Linked DNA regions of Rattus norvegicus. The protein of the gene in region 1 interacts with the protein of each later gene in a pairwise test. Links are inferred from orthologs where the notes say so. Each region holds a gene or a part of one and is shown in the gene's direction. Other genes may lie near its edges.

Region 1 (4,221 bases):
GTGGACTGATGCCTCTGATATTGGGCACCACATAAATCTTTGCCTTGTTTCTGTCTGATATTGTGGGTGCAGCAATGCAAAGGTAATTAAAACCTGTGGATTTACCCATCCCTTATATCACCTAACCCTTTCTCACACAATGTTCCAAGGTTCATCTGTGCTGTAGTGTGTGCTAACACTTGTTCTTTTCTGCCCCACTCCAAACCTAGCTGCTGCTGTACCACATTTTATTTATCCATCACCCAGTTAGTGAGCATTTGGGTTGTTTCTTCCTCCTGGCTATTGTGAATAGCACCTCTGAGAATAATACAAAATTTCATCTAAATACCTGTTTCCAATTTTGGTTAAAATATACAGGCACTAATCTTTAATTCAAAGAAAGATCTTAAAATATCTAGCTATCTGACAATTTACTGAGAACCTATGATCTCCCTGAATGCAAGCCCAGGAAATCACAATTTGAGACAAAAATCACTTTTGATTTCTTTGCACAGGCAAGTGGGAAAACAGTAAAACTCAGACCTTTTAACACCTGTATTTAATTATTCCTTTCACATGTGCTGTGAAGTGAAAACTACTTGAGAGAGAGGAAGGAAACCAGCAGGCAGGGGTGGCATTATGGAGGGCAATGAGGGAGGAGGACAGTTTAGAACGAAGTGCAATGACATAGACATGTATATATACATACATATGAACACACCTATATAACATAAAAACCATTACTTTTAATGCTAACTTACAAAATTAATTTTCAGGAGAGTGATGGCTCAGAGGGCAAAGGCACTCGCCAGCAAACCTGACATCTACTTTGGAGTTTGATTTCCCAGAAGCCAGGCCTTAACTGAATGTCTCAAAAGAAAACAACCACTATCTAAACCTCACCCCATCCACTCCCGCACTCATCACAACATCACAGTGGGTCTGGGGTTATTTCTTTGCGCTTGAATGGGCTGTTTTGGTCTCCTGTCCCTGTCACACCTCTTGAAGCTCAAGTCTCTCCAAGCTTCTTGACTGGGTCAGCTCCCAGCTGAGAACGCTGCCTCTCCTCTAGGCACTTTCCCTCAGTCTACAGCTCTCTCCCGGCCACGCAAGCCGCTGAAAGGCTCGTGACGAGGTCACTTAGGTGAAGTATGGCGGTGCACAACTAGGCTTCCCCTCTGGCGCACACCGGCGAGAGAACACAGGCAGCTTCCCTGGGTATCTCGTGATAGCTCCGCCCCAGCCTCGGACCACCACGCCCACAGGCCTGGAGTGGGAGGGATAAAGTGGGGCGTGACGTCACAGACACCGGCCGCCCATTGGGTCTCCGTGCGCGCCGGGGCCGAAGGGCGTGTCTATCAGCGCTGATTGGCTGGGGCGCGCAGGCGGGGAGGAGCCGACCGCGGGGCCGGGAGTGCGGCGGCGGCGGCAGCAGCATGGGTCCTCGCCCGCGGCTTCGCTGAACCTCACTGGCCTGGGCTGCCCGCGGCGCCCGCAGCGGTGGCGTCATGAAGGGGGCCCTGGGGAGCCCGGTAGCCGCCGCGGGCGCCGCGATGCAGGAGACGTTCGGCTGCGTCGTGGCCAACCGCTTCCATCAGCTGCTGGACGACGAGTCGGACCCGTTCGACATCCTGCGGGAGGCCGAGCACCGGCGCCAGCAGCAGCTGCAGCGCAAGCGTCGCGATGAGGCGGCGGCGGCCAGCGGGGCTGGGCACCGTGGCGGCAGGAGCCCTGCCGTGGCCTCAGGACACAGGCCCGGCGCGGCCGGCCGCAGGGAGTCGCAGAAGGAGCGCAAGAGCCTCGCGGTGTCCAGCGCACAGCAGCCAGACAGCCCCGGGGGCCCTCAGCCGCCAGGTACGCCGCGGGCACCGAGGTCACCCCTCCAGCCGCTAGCTCGGTCCCGCGTGGGCGAATCAGAGCTGGGTGTCCTGATGGGCGCAGGGACCGGGGCCACCCTTCAAGATAATAATTCTCTCGGGGTCACGTTTCCAGGGATCACTCTCGGGAGCCACTTTTGAGGGGTCATGACCCTTTAGGGCCATCCTCCTGGGTGGTCACTTTCCCCAGTGACCCTTTCTCAGTGGAGGGGCCAGGGTTTCACTCTCGCTGGGCTCATCCCAGACGGGTACAGTGAGCAGAGCACTGAATCTTGGTGGACAGGGCCTTTGGTCACCCTCTATCCACGAGGAGGGGGTGGGAATCACACTCCCTGGAGGGTTGGGGGTGGGGTCGTTCCTATCCACCCGTTCCCGGTGGGCCGAGCTGGAGGTTCTTGATGGGCAAAAAGACATGGTGTGACTCTTCTGGGGTCACCCTCCTGACATTCCTAGTTCCGTGTAGGGACCAGGACTGACAGCCTGAGGGTTGCGCAGCTGGGATCCCCACATCTGCAGCTAGCTGCATCCTTCATCCTGCCGGCCTCTGCGGGGCTCAGCTCTGTAGGCGATGCACTGCTAAAACCTTCAGGGATCCCAGACTCTGGGCCTTTAAATTCAGGGAGGCCTGGGCACCCGCAGGTGTGGAAGCTCCGGGAAGGCAGACTTGAGCCCAGGGTGAGTGGGGTGGGCTTGGGGTTCCGGCTCCTCTGCGCCTTAGTCCTTTTCTCAATCTTCATACTGTAGCCTCCAGGCGTTAGCAGACATCGATTGCAGGTGGAACAAATAGTGTATGTGGGACGCGTAATTTGTGATGGATTGAATACTGTTTTTGCTAGAAGCAGTTTTAACCTTTGCAAGCCGAATGCTCAAAGTTACCCTTTCTGCTTAAGTAGAAGGGTCAGCCCTCTGCTGGGTGTACTGTCTGCGTGGGAGGCTGCTTCAGACTTCGTGGCTGTCACCTGAGCTGCGTCAAGGCTTTTGCAGCCAAGCTTTTGCCAAATGAACTCCCCGTTTTCCCGTATTAAGTTTATAGTCTTAAGGTTGGCAAGAAGGGATGTTGTGATTAGAGTGTAGTTTGACCACCAGGTAGGGATGTGTTCATGTGGGCATTATTGCCTTGTCCTAACTTGAGAAAAACTGCCCTTTCCACTTCTGGCTTTAGCTGGTACAGATAGATAATGTTTACCTTTATCTGTAAAGTTCATTTGAGACATTGGTTGAGATTCAGAAAATCATTAATGAAGATGGATACCTCAGTGAATTTAGGACTCCTTTTAAGATGGAAATGCACCATACTGTACATTTTATATTGAGTTTCTCCTAAATGTATTTAGAAAAAATAGGAGGGAAGGAATTGAGTAAGACCAAATGTTTTACTATTTACTTTTTTTATCAAGTGAAAATATACTAGCTTTTGGAAGAGTACCAGTTACTACTGTTAAAGTATTGTTGTTTTTGTTTGTTTTGGTTTTTTGAGACAGGCTTTCTCTGTGCTGTTCTGGGACTCTCTTTGTAGACCAGTCTATCCTCTAACTCAGAGATATGCTTGGATCTGTCTCCCAAGTGCTGAGATTCCTGAGTGCCGGGATTAAAGGTGTGCAACACACACTGGCTGAAGTTTTTCTTTAGTCTTTTTTTTTAAGATTTATTTATTTATTTATTTAATGTATATGAGTACACTGTCACTGTCTTCAGACACACCAGAAGAGGGCATCAGATCCCATTACAGATGGTTGTGAGCCACCACATGGTTGCTGGGAATTGAACTCAGGACCTCTGGAAGAACAGTCAGTGCTCTTAACCTCTGAGCCATCTCTCCAGCCCTTTAGGTCTCTTTTAAAATTAAAAATATTCTTAGGGTTGGGGATTTAGCTCAGTGGTAGAGGGCTTGCCTAGCAAATGCAAGGCCCTGGGTTCAGTCCTCAGCTCCGAAAAAAGTTCTTGTTATGATGAGCCCAGGGTTCCATTCGTATTGTGTAAGTGATCTACTATGAGCTTGAACCCCCAGCTCTTGTTACAGAAATTTCAAGCAGTCTCAGAAATGTATGAAGTTAAGTTAGTGGAAGGGCCCCTTATTTTTCTTATGATTGACACTATGCATTTATATACAGCGTGGGACCAGGGAGATAGATCAATCAGAAAATGTTTGTCTCGAAAACATGATGAGGATATGAGCTCCATCCCTGCTTGAATCCATGAGCCCAGATTCCCAGAGAGAAACCTGGACTCAGAAAGTAAGAGGGGCTGTTCAGAGGTGAATGAACACTCAGGGTTTCTCTCTGTCTTCTGGACTCACAAGCACATTGCGCATGCATACGTGCATGCACACATGCATACACACAGGCACAGTGCTGTTTTGGTATTG
Region 2 (3,560 bases), on another chromosome or scaffold:
AAGTGCCTAGGAACTCTCTAGCTCACTTGACTCTCTGTCCTCCACTAGATTGATTCTCCCAGCCCTGCCCCATCACTTGGAGAACGGCTAGAACATAGGAAGATTCTGTTAGAGGATGATGCACCAGGGGTACCTGGAGAGATAGAGCCTGAACCTGGGTACCGAGGAGACAGGGAAAAGTCTGGTGGGTGTATTGTCCTACCAGTGATGGGGATTTGGGTTTTGGAGTTGACTCTTCGGGACCTGGGGTGAAAGTAACAGCTGTCTTCACATCTTCTGACTCTTCCCACAGCCTCAGAGCCAACGCCAGGAGAAAGGGGGGAGGAGAAGCCATTGGATGGACAGGAACACAGGGAGAGGACAGAGGGGGAGACAGGGGATTTGGGCAAGAGAGGTAATGGGCAGAAGGACTGGACACCCAAGTCCTGGTATCTGGGTATCTGGGGAGGCTTGGAATCTGGGGACAGATGCCTGGGTCTTGGGTGGGTAGCTGTTGGGAGAGCCGGTACGGTTGATGCACTAAATAGTCTTGGGACTTAGAAGGAGGCAGTCCTGAGGTGTGAGCTTTGCACTCTTTGGCCTAGCAGAAGATGTAAAAGCAGATCGGGAGCTTCGACTTGGGCCTCCTCGGGATGAGCCACGGCCCAATGGGCGCCGTGAGGAGAAGGTGGAGAAGCCAAGATTCATGTTCAACATTGCTGATGGTGGTTTCACAGGTGTGGGAGGTTGTCTGTTACCTGCTCCTCACTGTGTCACTGTGTCTGAGGCTGCCTGCTCCATTTAATTCCACACACTTTCAATGAACTGGTGCATGCTGACAGTGAGCCTCGACAGTCCTAAGTTACTACCAAACTCCCATTGGTCTCTAACACAGTTCTCTTGCCTTAATCTTAACGTGAGCCTGTTCATAATTAACTCTACTCCTTACTTCCTAACTTAATGTTTCTCGCCTTTTTGTAATTTAATTTTTTCAGATTTATTTTATGTGTTATGAGTGTTTGCCTGCATGCATGTGTATGCACCATATGTGTACAGTACCTTTAGAGGTCAGAAGATGGTACTGTATATCCCCTGTAAGTGGAGTGACAGATGGTTGTGAGCTACCTGTTGGAGCTGTGACCTGAAGTCTGGTCCTTCGCATGAGTGACAAGTGCTTCTAAGCACTGAGCTACCCTCCAGCCCCTCGTACAGCTCTTAAGGAGCCTTTAATACTCTGTCCTTACTCAGATTTCCATGTGTACGTTCCCAGGGTGATGCAGACCACAAACCTGATGCATTCGTTCTGTTCTTTGCAGAGCTGCACACACTGTGGCAGAATGAGGAAAGAGCAGCTATTTCCTCGGGGAAACTCAATGAGATCTGGCACCGGAGACATGACTACTGGCTTCTAGCTGGCATTGTCCTGTATCCTTTGCATATGTGCAAGATCACAAAGGGTCTCTCAGCTAGGAGAGAAGGTGCCGTGGGGTTTCTGCTGCTTGATAAACACCATGGCTGAAAGAAACTTGGGGAGGAAAGGGTTTATTTCTTCTTACAATTTGTAGCACGTCTTCCAGGGAAGTTAGGGCAGGAACAGAGGCAGGAGGCTGGAGGCAGGAGCTGATGCGGAGGCCATGGAGGGGTGCTGCTTACTGGCTTGCTCCCTGTGGCTTGCTCAGCCTGCTTTCTTATAGAACCCAGGACCACCAGCCCAGGGAGGGCACCACCTGCAGTGGTCTAGGCCCTCCCCCATCAATCATTGATTAAGAAAATGCCCCATAGGTTTGTCTACAGCCCGACCTTATGGAGTAATTTTCTCCACTGATGTTCATCTTCCCAGATAATTCTAACTTCTGTCGGGTTGAGAAAAACTAGCCAGGGCAGAGGGGAACTACAGAGAAGAAGGGTCCACACTCAGGCGGGGGAAGCTTGTGCCACATTCTGGGGACATCTGGCCAATAAGAAATGTTCACAGTCACATCCATTCAGTTAAATTCCTTGATAGTTCCTTTGCTCTGTTGGCAGCCATGGCTATGCCCGGTGGCAAGACATCCAGAACGATGCTCAGTTTGCCATTATTAATGAACCATTTAAAACGGAAGCCAATAAGGGGAACTTCCTGGAGATGAAAAATAAATTCCTGGCCCGGAGGTTCAAGGTGAGGATGAGAAAGAAGAGAAGTGGGGTGAAGAAGGGCCTTGCTCAGCGTGGGCTGGAAGGAATGGTATCATCACGAGACCTGAGGTAACACTGTGGCTAAGACCCAGTGGACCTATGGATGGGAACTGTGGTCTGGCTCACACACTGTGCAGCTGGAGTTTCCAGGGCAACAGGGACAGAGTAGCTCTCTAGTGCTAGGTTAGTCCTTCTACTCACCTGCCTTTACCCCTATCCTGTTCCCTTAGCTCCTGGAGCAGGCGCTGGTGATCGAGGAGCAGCTGCGGCGGGCGGCCTACCTGAACCTGTCACAGGAGCCGGCGCACCCCGCCATGGCCCTCCACGCCCGCTTTGCCGAGGCCGAGTGCCTAGCCGAGAGCCACCAGCACCTCTCCAAGGAGTCGCTGGCAGGGAACAAGCCAGCCAACGCTGTCCTGCACAAGGGTAAGGGCCGCGGTGGCCCCGCGCGGGGGAGGGCCCACAACGCTGCGTAAGTCTTCACCCCGCACCCTTAAAAACTTTCCCACACCCTCTGCCCCCTTACCCCTCTACCCTCTGAACCACTGCCCTCTGACCTCTAACCCCACTTCTGACCCTTTTGGGGTTTAGCTTTACCCCTTGTCTAAGCCCATACCTGATATGGTTCACAGCAGTGACCAGTAGGGTACCAGTCACCTCATAAAGTGGGACCTGATCCCTGTGAGTGGGACCACAGGTTGCACCTGCCATGATCCTGATAGCCTTGGTGTGTGTGTGTGTCCTTAGCTCTGACCCACAGGTCACTTTCTTTGTATCTCCTTCACCCCATGAAGTGAAAACGACTGCCCATCTACCTCTGGGCAGACCCCATGAAGCTTGCTTTTGACCCCCAGCCTTTTCGCCCATATCCTCCTACCTTGATAACTATGGGTTAGGTCCCAGAGCCATCCTAACCCCCTAACAGAGCCTGGTGTAGCACCTGACTTCTGCCAACCTTAGGTCCTTCTACAGAATGCTGACTCTTTAACCCCCTCCCCATCATGTATTAAAACTGAGTCCCTAAATCATACTGCCCTATGCCTCCTATTTCCTCCCCATCATCCTGACCCCTAAGCCTCCCTTTTCTAGTACGGGATGTTCTGACAACCCCGACCCCATGTCTTTCAATGTCTTTCCCTTACCTCTTCCCCATACTCTGTCTTTGTCTTTACTCCATCTGTTCTGTGTGGTATCTGGTCTGTTGCTTTCCTCTGAACCACTCTTCTGTCTAATCTCTGCCATTTGGTCCTTGGCCTGTGGTCCTTTGATGTCTGTGTCCTCTCTTTCTGACTGTACTTGTCCATCTGACTGTCCCTTTTTCTGGCTCCATCTCTCTCTCTACCTTTCTCTTGCCCTTCTCTCTCTGTGGCCCGGGCCCCAGTTCTGAACCAGCTGGAGGAGTTGCT
Region 3 (4,360 bases), on another chromosome or scaffold:
CAATTTGAGCTATGCAGATCCTGTATCAAAATAAGGTTGAATGTGGTGATGAATTCCACTTAACTGTTTTTTTTTCTTATGATTTATTTTTATGTTATGTGCACTGGTGTTTTGCTTACATGTGCGTCTGTATGAGGTGGTTGGAGCCTCTGGAGTTGTTGTGACAGTTGTGAGCTGCCATGTGGATGTTGGTGAACTAACCCAAGTCCTCTTAGAAATGCAGCTAATGCTCTTAACTGCTGAAGCATCTCTTCAGCCCGACAAATGCCTTTAATCCCTGCATTCCCAGCACTCACAGGCAGGTGATCTCTGAGTTCCAGACCAGCTAAGTCTTTTACATAGTGAGACTGTCTCAAAAACGAACAAACAAAAACTAAACAAGATTGAGAGATGGGGGCGGGGCACGAGGGGGTAGATGTAACTCCATAAGGCATTTTCCTCACATGTGGGAGTTCAACCCATAGCACTAAAATAATTAAATGTATCATTTAGTTCATATAGACATTAGTGGTTGGTTACCTTCCTGACCTGTGCTCCTTTTTAAAAAATATTTAAGCTGAGCAAGAGGAGCACGCATGGCAGAAAAGAAAATTCCTGACTTCAACCTGTGCACTGTGACGATCACAAGCGCACTCACACACAAATAATTTTAAGTTTTTTTTTCCTTTTTCTTTTTTTTTTTTTTAGGAGCTGGGGACCGAACCCAGGGCCTTGTGCTTGCTAGGCAAGCGCTCTACCACTGAGCTAAATCCCCAACCCCCAATTTTAAAACGTAAAGTTAAAATTTTTTGAGAGATCTGTGACATTTGGAGACACTAAATAATTCAAACAAGTGTTGAGGGGAGGGTCATCAGGTTGCTAGATTATCAGTGTTCCTCTTCTTCCCTGTCCAGGTTCACTTCTTTCAGGGCTACACAAGACGGACTAGCAGGCTTTTCTGAGGAGTGATCAGAAGCACAGAAAGGGCTTCCAATCCCCATAAATCTTAACCCAGCACTTTCTCTATAGCCTCGCCCGGCAGCGGCCCGGTTCTTGGGAGACAGAAGACATCCTTGGCAACATAGCCAGTTTAAGACTAGCCTTCACTACATGAAACCTTGCCTTAAAACAAAAAAGGCCAAATTTCGTGGCATACTCCTTTAACTGCAACTTTAATTGTACTTCCGTAAGTCAAAGTTAAAGCCGCGGTCTCCAACCGAGAACTAAACACGAAGCGGAAAGGGCGGAGCTCCGTCAGTGCCACGTAGGGGCGGTGAGCCGCTGTAGTTCGGTAATGTGCCGTTTAGCCTCACTTCTGCTTCCACGGCATGTTTTAATCTTCCGAGAAGCCTTTCTAAAAACCTGGTGCACCTGGCTTCAGAATGCATTTGTACAGCGCTGCCTGTATGTTGCGTGGCAGAAGAAACGACGATACTGCGATCTACTTCTCCAGTTCCTCCCACTTCATAGTGCAGCCATCTTTGGGCAGCAGTGAATCATGGGAATCCCCGCCTTGCTCTCCGAGTATTTCCGGTTCCGGCGGAGGCCGCTCTTTCTTTTTCTCCGCAGGGTCGCGGTGGCAGCCGCTGCGGTGCTTGGCTCCCTAAGCTATCCGGTGCCATCCTTGTCGCTGCGGCGACACTCGCAACATCTGCAGCCATGACCGAGCAAATGACCCTTCGTGGGACCCTCAAGGGCCATAATGGATGGGTTACACAGATCGCCACCACTCCGCAGTTCCCGGACATGATCCTGTCGGCGTCTCGAGGTACGGGGCTGCATGCCGGGTGAAACACCCTGTGTCCTGGTGACTGCATGTCTCGTGGCTAAGCAAGTGGCGCTCGTGTTGGCTGGCTCGGTCCGTTCCCCGACCCAGGTGTGAGTTGGGGCGTGCAGACCCGAACATGGGCCCCAACCGGGGCGACCCTTTACATATGAACGGAAACCGGGACTTGTCACGCAAGTGCACAGCATGGCGATTTTAATGCATCTCTCGCTTGCTTTCTGGAGATGTGTTAACGAAGTAATTACGTGGCTACAAGCCAGGCGGAGCAATGATGACCCCAACATGCCATCTGAGTTGCTTTGCTGAAATCCAGAGGCTGTTTCTGAGCTGCCACCGCCTGGCCCTGAACTCTAGGTGCCTTGTTCCCCAGAATTCCGGGCTTGCCCGTCCTGCCCTAGATTTTCTTTCCTTGTAACTAATGCTATTTTTTCTTTCATGATATGTCTCCATGTATTTTTCCCTCTCAGGTCCTCCCTACTTGCCCAAAATTATGTTCGTCCTCTCTCTCCTACCTAATTAATGCTAGGCTTATCGGGCTTTCTGTTGGTTTCTGTGTAAGTCGAAATGGTCGTGGCTAGGACTGTGTATGATGCTGCCGTAACTGCTGCCTTTCTGTTAACTCTCCGAGGCGGGAAAGTGTCTCTGCTCATCCTACACCCAAGTGACAGTGCTTTTGCTATTGAGTTAGCCGCATCGATGGATAAGGCTAGAGTTTGAACACCATAGACACATATAGTGTGCGCGCGCGTACACACACACACGTAGGGAGCCACATTAAATAAGTTTTTTTATGTTGAACTTAAATCTCAACTCCAGGAAGTGTGTTGCCCATCATCTCAGATTACAGCTTAGATCTACGTCTCTGTGGAATAGTGAGCCTCTTTTACTTCAAATTTGCCGTTTTTCTGCCATTTACCACACCAGTGACCTTAGGACTGTAACTTGTGCGTGGTAAGTAGTAGGTTTTGGGGGTCCTCATGAGATTTCTTTACCAACCTTTTTAGACAAGACCATCATCATGTGGAAGCTGACCAGGGATGAGACCAACTACGGCATACCACAACGTGCTCTTCGAGGTCACTCCCACTTTGTTAGCGATGTTGTCATCTCCTCTGATGGCCAGTTTGCCCTCTCAGGCTCCTGGGATGGAACCCTACGCCTCTGGGATCTCACAACGCAAGTAGCTGCTTTGGGGCCTTGGGGGAAGGTGGGCAAAAGTGAGGTAGATTCCCCAGGGTGTGGTCTTCCCTTGGTAATCAGTCCTTTTGTTTGAGGGAAGGCAACATTTTGGGGTGTTAGGCTTCCCTTGGAGCTGCTTTTTTTTTTTTTAACTGGGTACCATGGGCTATTAAGTTGTCTCGGGTTGTAAGTTGTCTTAGATGGACATTGGCAGATGGACATTGGCAGATGTAATAGAGGATCCTAGTGATGACAAGGAGACATTGTCAACCAATCCCCACAAGGGAATGAGGACATGTCCTGCAATTCTGAATGGGTTCTCTGGTACATATCAGACATGGGCTAATAGTAGGTTCTGAACCACTTGTGGACTGTGGAGTATAATAGAGCCTACAGGGTAAGGGTGGGGCTAGGAAAAGGATCTAACTGGATGGGTGAAACCTGTCTAGAAAGTGACCAGGTTCTCCCTCTTAGGGGCACTACCACGAGACGATTTGTCGGCCACACCAAGGATGTGCTGAGCGTGGCTTTCTCCTCTGACAACCGGCAGATTGTCTCTGGGTCCCGAGACAAGACCATTAAGTTATGGAATACTCTGGGTGTCTGCAAGTACACTGTCCAGGTAAAGGGGTAAGGGTGGTAGGGACGGCGTCCAGGGCTGTCTCCCACCCCCTGGGGGCTGTTTTTAGGGTGCGTTCATCACTGTGTGGTCCTGGTGGCCTCAGGTGATCTGATTCCTAGGTGTGTACTACTACCACCTGGCACTTTCTCTTGTGTATTGTTAGCCCTGTCTGGGATTTTGTTTTTAAACTTTGTGTGCCTGCTACCTTGTGACTGGACTGGCATGGGGCTCAGAGGAGTTGGAGGGATTGTTTGTTTGTGGGTTTCTGTGTAGGTAGACCTGCATGAGATCATGTGCTTCCAGACTGCTGGGGTTAAAAGGCCTTCTTTTCCCCCTTTAATCCCATATTAGGTTGAGCTGTGGAAACCCAAACCACGGCATCAGTTGGGCAGGGTCTTGGCACATGAGCAGATACCCAGATGTCTCTCATAACTGCCCTAAGGTTTAAATGATCTTAAGTCTCTCACCTATCTCCTAGAGATGTGTTTGAGGGGTTACAAGCCAGGCCCAACAGTGATGACCACAACATGCCATCTGAGTTGCTTTGCTGAAATCCAGAGGCTGTTTCTGAGCTGTGCCTGGTCCTGTGCTCCATGAGTAATGAGTGGGTGAGCTCTGGGGTCACCTTAGGACTCAAATGTCAGCAGGCTTGACAGGTGGCTTTGCCCCTGGTCTGTTGGCCTAAAGATTGTGCTTCTGAGAAGGGAGTGCAGGAGTGCCGTTGCCCCTCTTAGGGAAGTGTAGTAGAGATCTGTAATCTGGGAAAAGCTGCCGCCTCTTTTTTTTTTTTAAAG
Region 4 (4,155 bases), on another chromosome or scaffold:
GGAAACAATTTTATATCGATTGCTGTAGTGTAGAAAAATAAGAAGTGGATTTGGACTTGCACTCTAATCTCTCTGATCTCAAACATAAGAAACAGTTCTTGTATATAATGCTCAAAAATTACTTTTGACTATTAAGTCCATAAAAACCTGAATCTTGTATACGATCTGTGTGGCCTCTTATTTTGGGCCTCCTTTCCCTTATTTAAAGAATGCTGTTTAGAATATTAAACAGTAGTTTCATTGCCATTCATTCAGTAAGACTCGGTATCCAACATTTGCTTTTGGTGTTTTGAGAGGTCTTTTATGTAACCCTGGCTGTTCTGGAACATGCTGTGTAACCAGGCTGACCTTAAACTCGGCTGTTTGCCTCTACCTCCCAGATGCTAGGACCAGAGAGCATGAGCGGGGTTTTTGGGGTGTGTGTGTGTGTGTGTGTGTGTGTGTGTGTGTGTGTGTGTGTGTGTGTGTGTGAAATTCGGTTGGTTAAATTTTGTTTTTGTTTCTTGGGTTGGGTTTTGGATTTTGTTGGTTTTGTTTTGTGTGTGTGTGTTTCTAATGTCCTTGAGAGTTTTGCCTGCATGTCTGCACTACGTTCGTTCATGGTGTTGGTAAAAGTCAAAAGAGGGTGTCTGCTGCCCTGGAACTGGAGGTAGATGGTTGTGAGAAGGCGTGTGGATGCTGGCAATAGAACTCCAGGCCTCTGTAAGAGCAACAGTGCTCTTAACCACTGAGCCCTGTCTCCAGCCTGTTATCCCTGATTCTCAACCTAAATGTGATGATGAAAGCCATCTATTCCTGCTCCCCCCCCCCCAAAAAAAAACGATGGTCCATTAAAACCGGTACACGAATTGTTAGGGGGTGCAGAGGTTTCCAGCATAAATCCTTCATCCTGTTCTTGGGATTCTGGGTCTAATGTGAGGCCTGGATGCCCACTCCACAGCAGCTGCATGCAGGTCAGTCTGAGCTTTTCAGAACTAGGCGGTTTCAGAAGACCGCTAAGTGATCTTTGTTGGGATGAGACCTGAGCGTATTCCACGAAGTAACAAAGTGTGGCTTGGGTTGAGAAAAGCAGGTGAATTGGGGAGAACGGGCAGCAAGGGAGATTTGATGGCCAGGGTAGAATACAGCTGAGCCAAGGCCTCTCGGGCTGCGCTGGCGGCTCCCAGCAGAGGGCGCGGTGCGGTCCGGCCCGGGTACTGCAGTCCTCCGACGTGGATAGCGCTTCCCGGGCGAGGGCGGGGCTTCCGGCGGCTCGCGAGGTCACACGGTGTCTTGGCCCGGTCGTCCTTCCCTTTGCACGTGTCCACCCCGCGATGCTCCCTCTGCTGCGCTGCGTGCCCCGCGCCCTGGGTGCCGCCGCCACGGGCCTCCGAGCCTCCATCCCGGCCCCGCCGCTTCGGCATTTACTGCAGCCCGCGCCCCGGCCATGCCTCCGGCCCTTCGGTTTGCTCAGCGTACGAGCCGGCTCCGCTCGGCGCTCTGGCCTCCTGCAGCCCCCGGTTCCCTGCGCGTGCGGCTGCGGCGCTCTGCACACGGAAGGTAAGGTTCACGCACCCTAGTCGGAATGCGGCGATCCAGCTCGGAACTGGCCCTCATGATCGCAGGTTCCCCTTCTCGCGTCTTGAAAATGTGGCTTAGCAAAGTCGGTAGGGTCGTGGTTTCAAAGTGTGGTTGTTGGGTCCACGTCTTTTTGGACATGGAAGAGGATAGTTGGAAATTCTTTTGTTTTATACGGGAAGTAATAGTAATGAGTTCATGATGAGAAATAACCATCTCATGATAAGTAATATCAGTTCAGCTCAGTAAATATATCCTGGTGTTTTTATAGAGTGAGGAACGGACGTTTTGAGGCGTGATTTACGCTACAGTCTTAGAACAGCCTTAAGAATAGATTACACGCAGTCCGAGTCAATCGGTTAGAGCAACTACCTTTTCTCACTGTTGATCATTTTGGCCTTTCTTTTAGGAGACAAGGCCTTTGTTGAATTTTTGACTGATGAAATTAAGGAAGAAAAGAAGATCCAGAAGCATAAGTCCCTTCCCAAAATGTCTGGAGATTGGGAGCTGGAAGTGAACGGCACGGAGGCTAAATTATTGCGCAAAGTTGCCGGAGAAAAGTAAGTACTGGCCCAGGGGTTGTATACTGGATTCTCAAGTCAGAAGTTCCTGGTTACAGCATCCTGTTCTGACCATCCCCAGAAGAGCCTGAGCTTAGGCCCAATGCTTTGATAAAATGGCTTTAAGAAAGCATTAAACTTGGGAAAGTTCTTAGGTTCCAGGGAGTGCATTCACTGAATGAATACAAGCTTCTATGGCTTGTATTAAGGAGACCTGAAGCAGCTCCAGAGTATGTAGAGGGAAGCCTGTGGGAGGGGCAAACGCAGTTATTGGGTTATTAATGAGGGGTGCTGTGCCAGTCTGGATTAAGCATTGGGTTGTTGTTTTGTTGTTTAATAGTACTGGTAAATCATTTGTTTAGAACTCCCGTCTGGCTTGTGTTTATAATAGTTGAAAGTGCACGTGTGTAACTGTTAAGTCACAGGAAGAAGTTACCATGTAGAAAGGCCATCAGACAAAGGGAGAAGGTTCTTAGCCAAACTTAGCTCTTCCTCTCCTCAAGGGATTCGGTTTGAGACAAGGTCTCTGTGTGGCTGCTGTGTAGCATAGACTGGGCTCAGACTCTGGGTCCTGCTGCTTCAGACACCTGTGTGCTGAGGTTGCAGACATGCGCCACCACACCTGGCACCCCTAAAACCGTTAAACCCTTGTCTGTGCTGTTTCGTGTTACCCATTCACCCACAGTCTTCCTTGGCTAAGTCTACTTGGACTCTTAAGTGCTTCTCTAGCTTGTGTGAGGCTCCAGGATCCATCCCCAGTGCTTCAGGAGCACAGTGTACAAGAAAGTTTTATTGGGGGTGCGGGGGTTTATAAGCTTAGCAGTAAGTGTGTGTGTGTAGATTAGAAAGTTCAAGGCCAGGCTGAGTGTCGGTGGGGCTCACCGCCTTTAATTCTATCACCCTGGGAGGCATAGACAGGTAGATTTCTGTAAGTTCAAAGCCAGCCTGGTCCACCAGCAAGTACTAAGACAGCCAAGGCTACACAAATAAGTCCTGTCTTGAAAAACCAAAATAAGAGAGGGAAGGAGGGAGGGAAGGAAGAAGTAGGTTTAGTCTGGGCTATCGCAGGTTGTACATGCCCTTTGGTTCACCTTGCCATTCTTTTTTCGGGGGCAAAGTGGCAGCAAGGCATTGCCCAGTTGGACTCCAGGGAGCAGCCCCCAGTACACTCTTCTTGGGTTGGTTGGCCCTCTGAATCTGTGTAAGCGGAACTTCTTTTCCAGGTGTTGAGACAAAGGAACTGTCTCTGACTTTAGAACAGGTGCTGTCCATCACATAAGAATTCTTACAGTCACACAAGGGCCAGGGTGCAGCTGTGAACTTCCGCCAAGCATGGGCAGGGTACTTATTTGAGCTCCAGAATCCCCCCAGAAGGGAAAGAAGCCACTAGGTGTTTCAGTTCCTAGTTTGTGGTTGTGCAAAGTGAATCTGCTCTGCAGTGGCTGTGAGGCTTTCCGGGGCAGATGGCTGTCCACCTCCATTAGCTTCCATGGGAAGACCCCAGGACACCAACCTGGCAGCTTCATCCACAGCTGTAGTCATTTAACTTGTAGGTACACTTCAGATGAAATTCTCTTCACTTCCCTGTGTGGCTAGGATGGAGACATTGTTTCAGTGGGCCTTGCTCTCCTGTTACCACTAGGTTAATGTGTACCTTGGTGTATCTCTACCTGCCTTTCTAGGATCACTGTCACTTTCAACATTAACAATAGCATCCCTCCAACCTTTGATGGTGAAGAGGAGCCCTCACAGGGGCAGAAGGCCGAAGAGCAGGAGGTAAGCAGTGACATGGCAGACAGCCAAGATTTCTGTCCCCAAAAGCAAGAACTGTTTCACTTTCACTCTTTTTAAAATCCTCCCTGCTAGGGTGAGGTGAAGGGTGAGCCTCCTGAGACCTGTAATGCAGTCATTCCGAGTGAGTTTTAGCTGGAGTTGTGGATGGACCATGTTTGTAGAGTGTTGTCCCCTAAGGGCTTAGGGTTTATCACGGGCCTGTGCCCTCACCCCTGCCAGTGTTGGGGAGTGGGGATACTTAGTA

What was found.
Region 2: the proteins of Habp4 (region 1) and Chd3 interact in a two-hybrid assay, tested with the Homo sapiens proteins (3 studies listed by BioGRID and IntAct). The link is inferred for Rattus norvegicus from reciprocal best matches to the Homo sapiens genes HABP4 and CHD3.
Region 3: the proteins of Habp4 (region 1) and Rack1 interact in a two-hybrid assay, tested with the Homo sapiens proteins (2 studies listed by BioGRID). The link is inferred for Rattus norvegicus from reciprocal best matches to the Homo sapiens genes HABP4 and RACK1.
Region 4: the proteins of Habp4 (region 1) and C1qbp interact in a two-hybrid assay, tested with the Homo sapiens proteins (2 studies listed by BioGRID and IntAct). The link is inferred for Rattus norvegicus from reciprocal best matches to the Homo sapiens genes HABP4 and C1QBP.

What each region holds. Positions count from the first base shown.
Region 1 is NC_086035.1:960,485-964,705, reverse strand, and holds the start of Habp4 (intracellular hyaluronan-binding protein 4), read left to right. Parts: upstream 1-1,405; 5' UTR 1,406-1,487; coding exon 1,488-1,833; intron 1,834-4,221. UniProt on the Homo sapiens protein: Ribosome-binding protein that promotes ribosome hibernation, a process during which ribosomes are stabilized in an inactive state and preserved from proteasomal degradation.
Region 2 is NC_086028.1:54,564,768-54,568,327, reverse strand, and holds part of Chd3 (chromodomain-helicase-DNA-binding protein 3), read left to right. Parts: intron 1-48; coding exon 49-184; intron 185-292; coding exon 293-394; intron 395-584; coding exon of another isoform or gene 585-587; coding exon 588-716; intron 717-1,295; coding exon 1,296-1,404; intron 1,405-2,004; coding exon 2,005-2,137; intron 2,138-2,384; coding exon 2,385-2,580; coding exon of another isoform or gene 2,581-2,626; intron 2,627-3,535; coding exon 3,536-3,560.
Region 3 is NC_086028.1:33,669,045-33,673,404, forward strand, and holds the start of Rack1 (small ribosomal subunit protein RACK1), read left to right. Parts: upstream 1-1,505; 5' UTR 1,506-1,638; coding exon 1,639-1,747; intron 1,748-2,027; exon of another isoform or gene 2,028-2,095; intron 2,096-2,769; coding exon 2,770-2,941; intron 2,942-3,183; exon of another isoform or gene 3,184-3,263; intron 3,264-3,418; coding exon 3,419-3,566; intron 3,567-4,073; exon of another isoform or gene 4,074-4,141; intron 4,142-4,360. UniProt on the Homo sapiens protein: Scaffolding protein involved in the recruitment, assembly and/or regulation of a variety of signaling molecules. Interacts with a wide variety of proteins and plays a role in many cellular processes.
Region 4 is NC_086028.1:56,200,343-56,204,497, reverse strand, and holds the start of C1qbp (complement component 1 Q subcomponent-binding protein, mitochondrial precursor), read left to right. Parts: upstream 1-1,312; 5' UTR 1,313-1,313; coding exon 1,314-1,539; intron 1,540-1,966; coding exon 1,967-2,117; intron 2,118-3,799; coding exon 3,800-3,893; intron 3,894-4,155.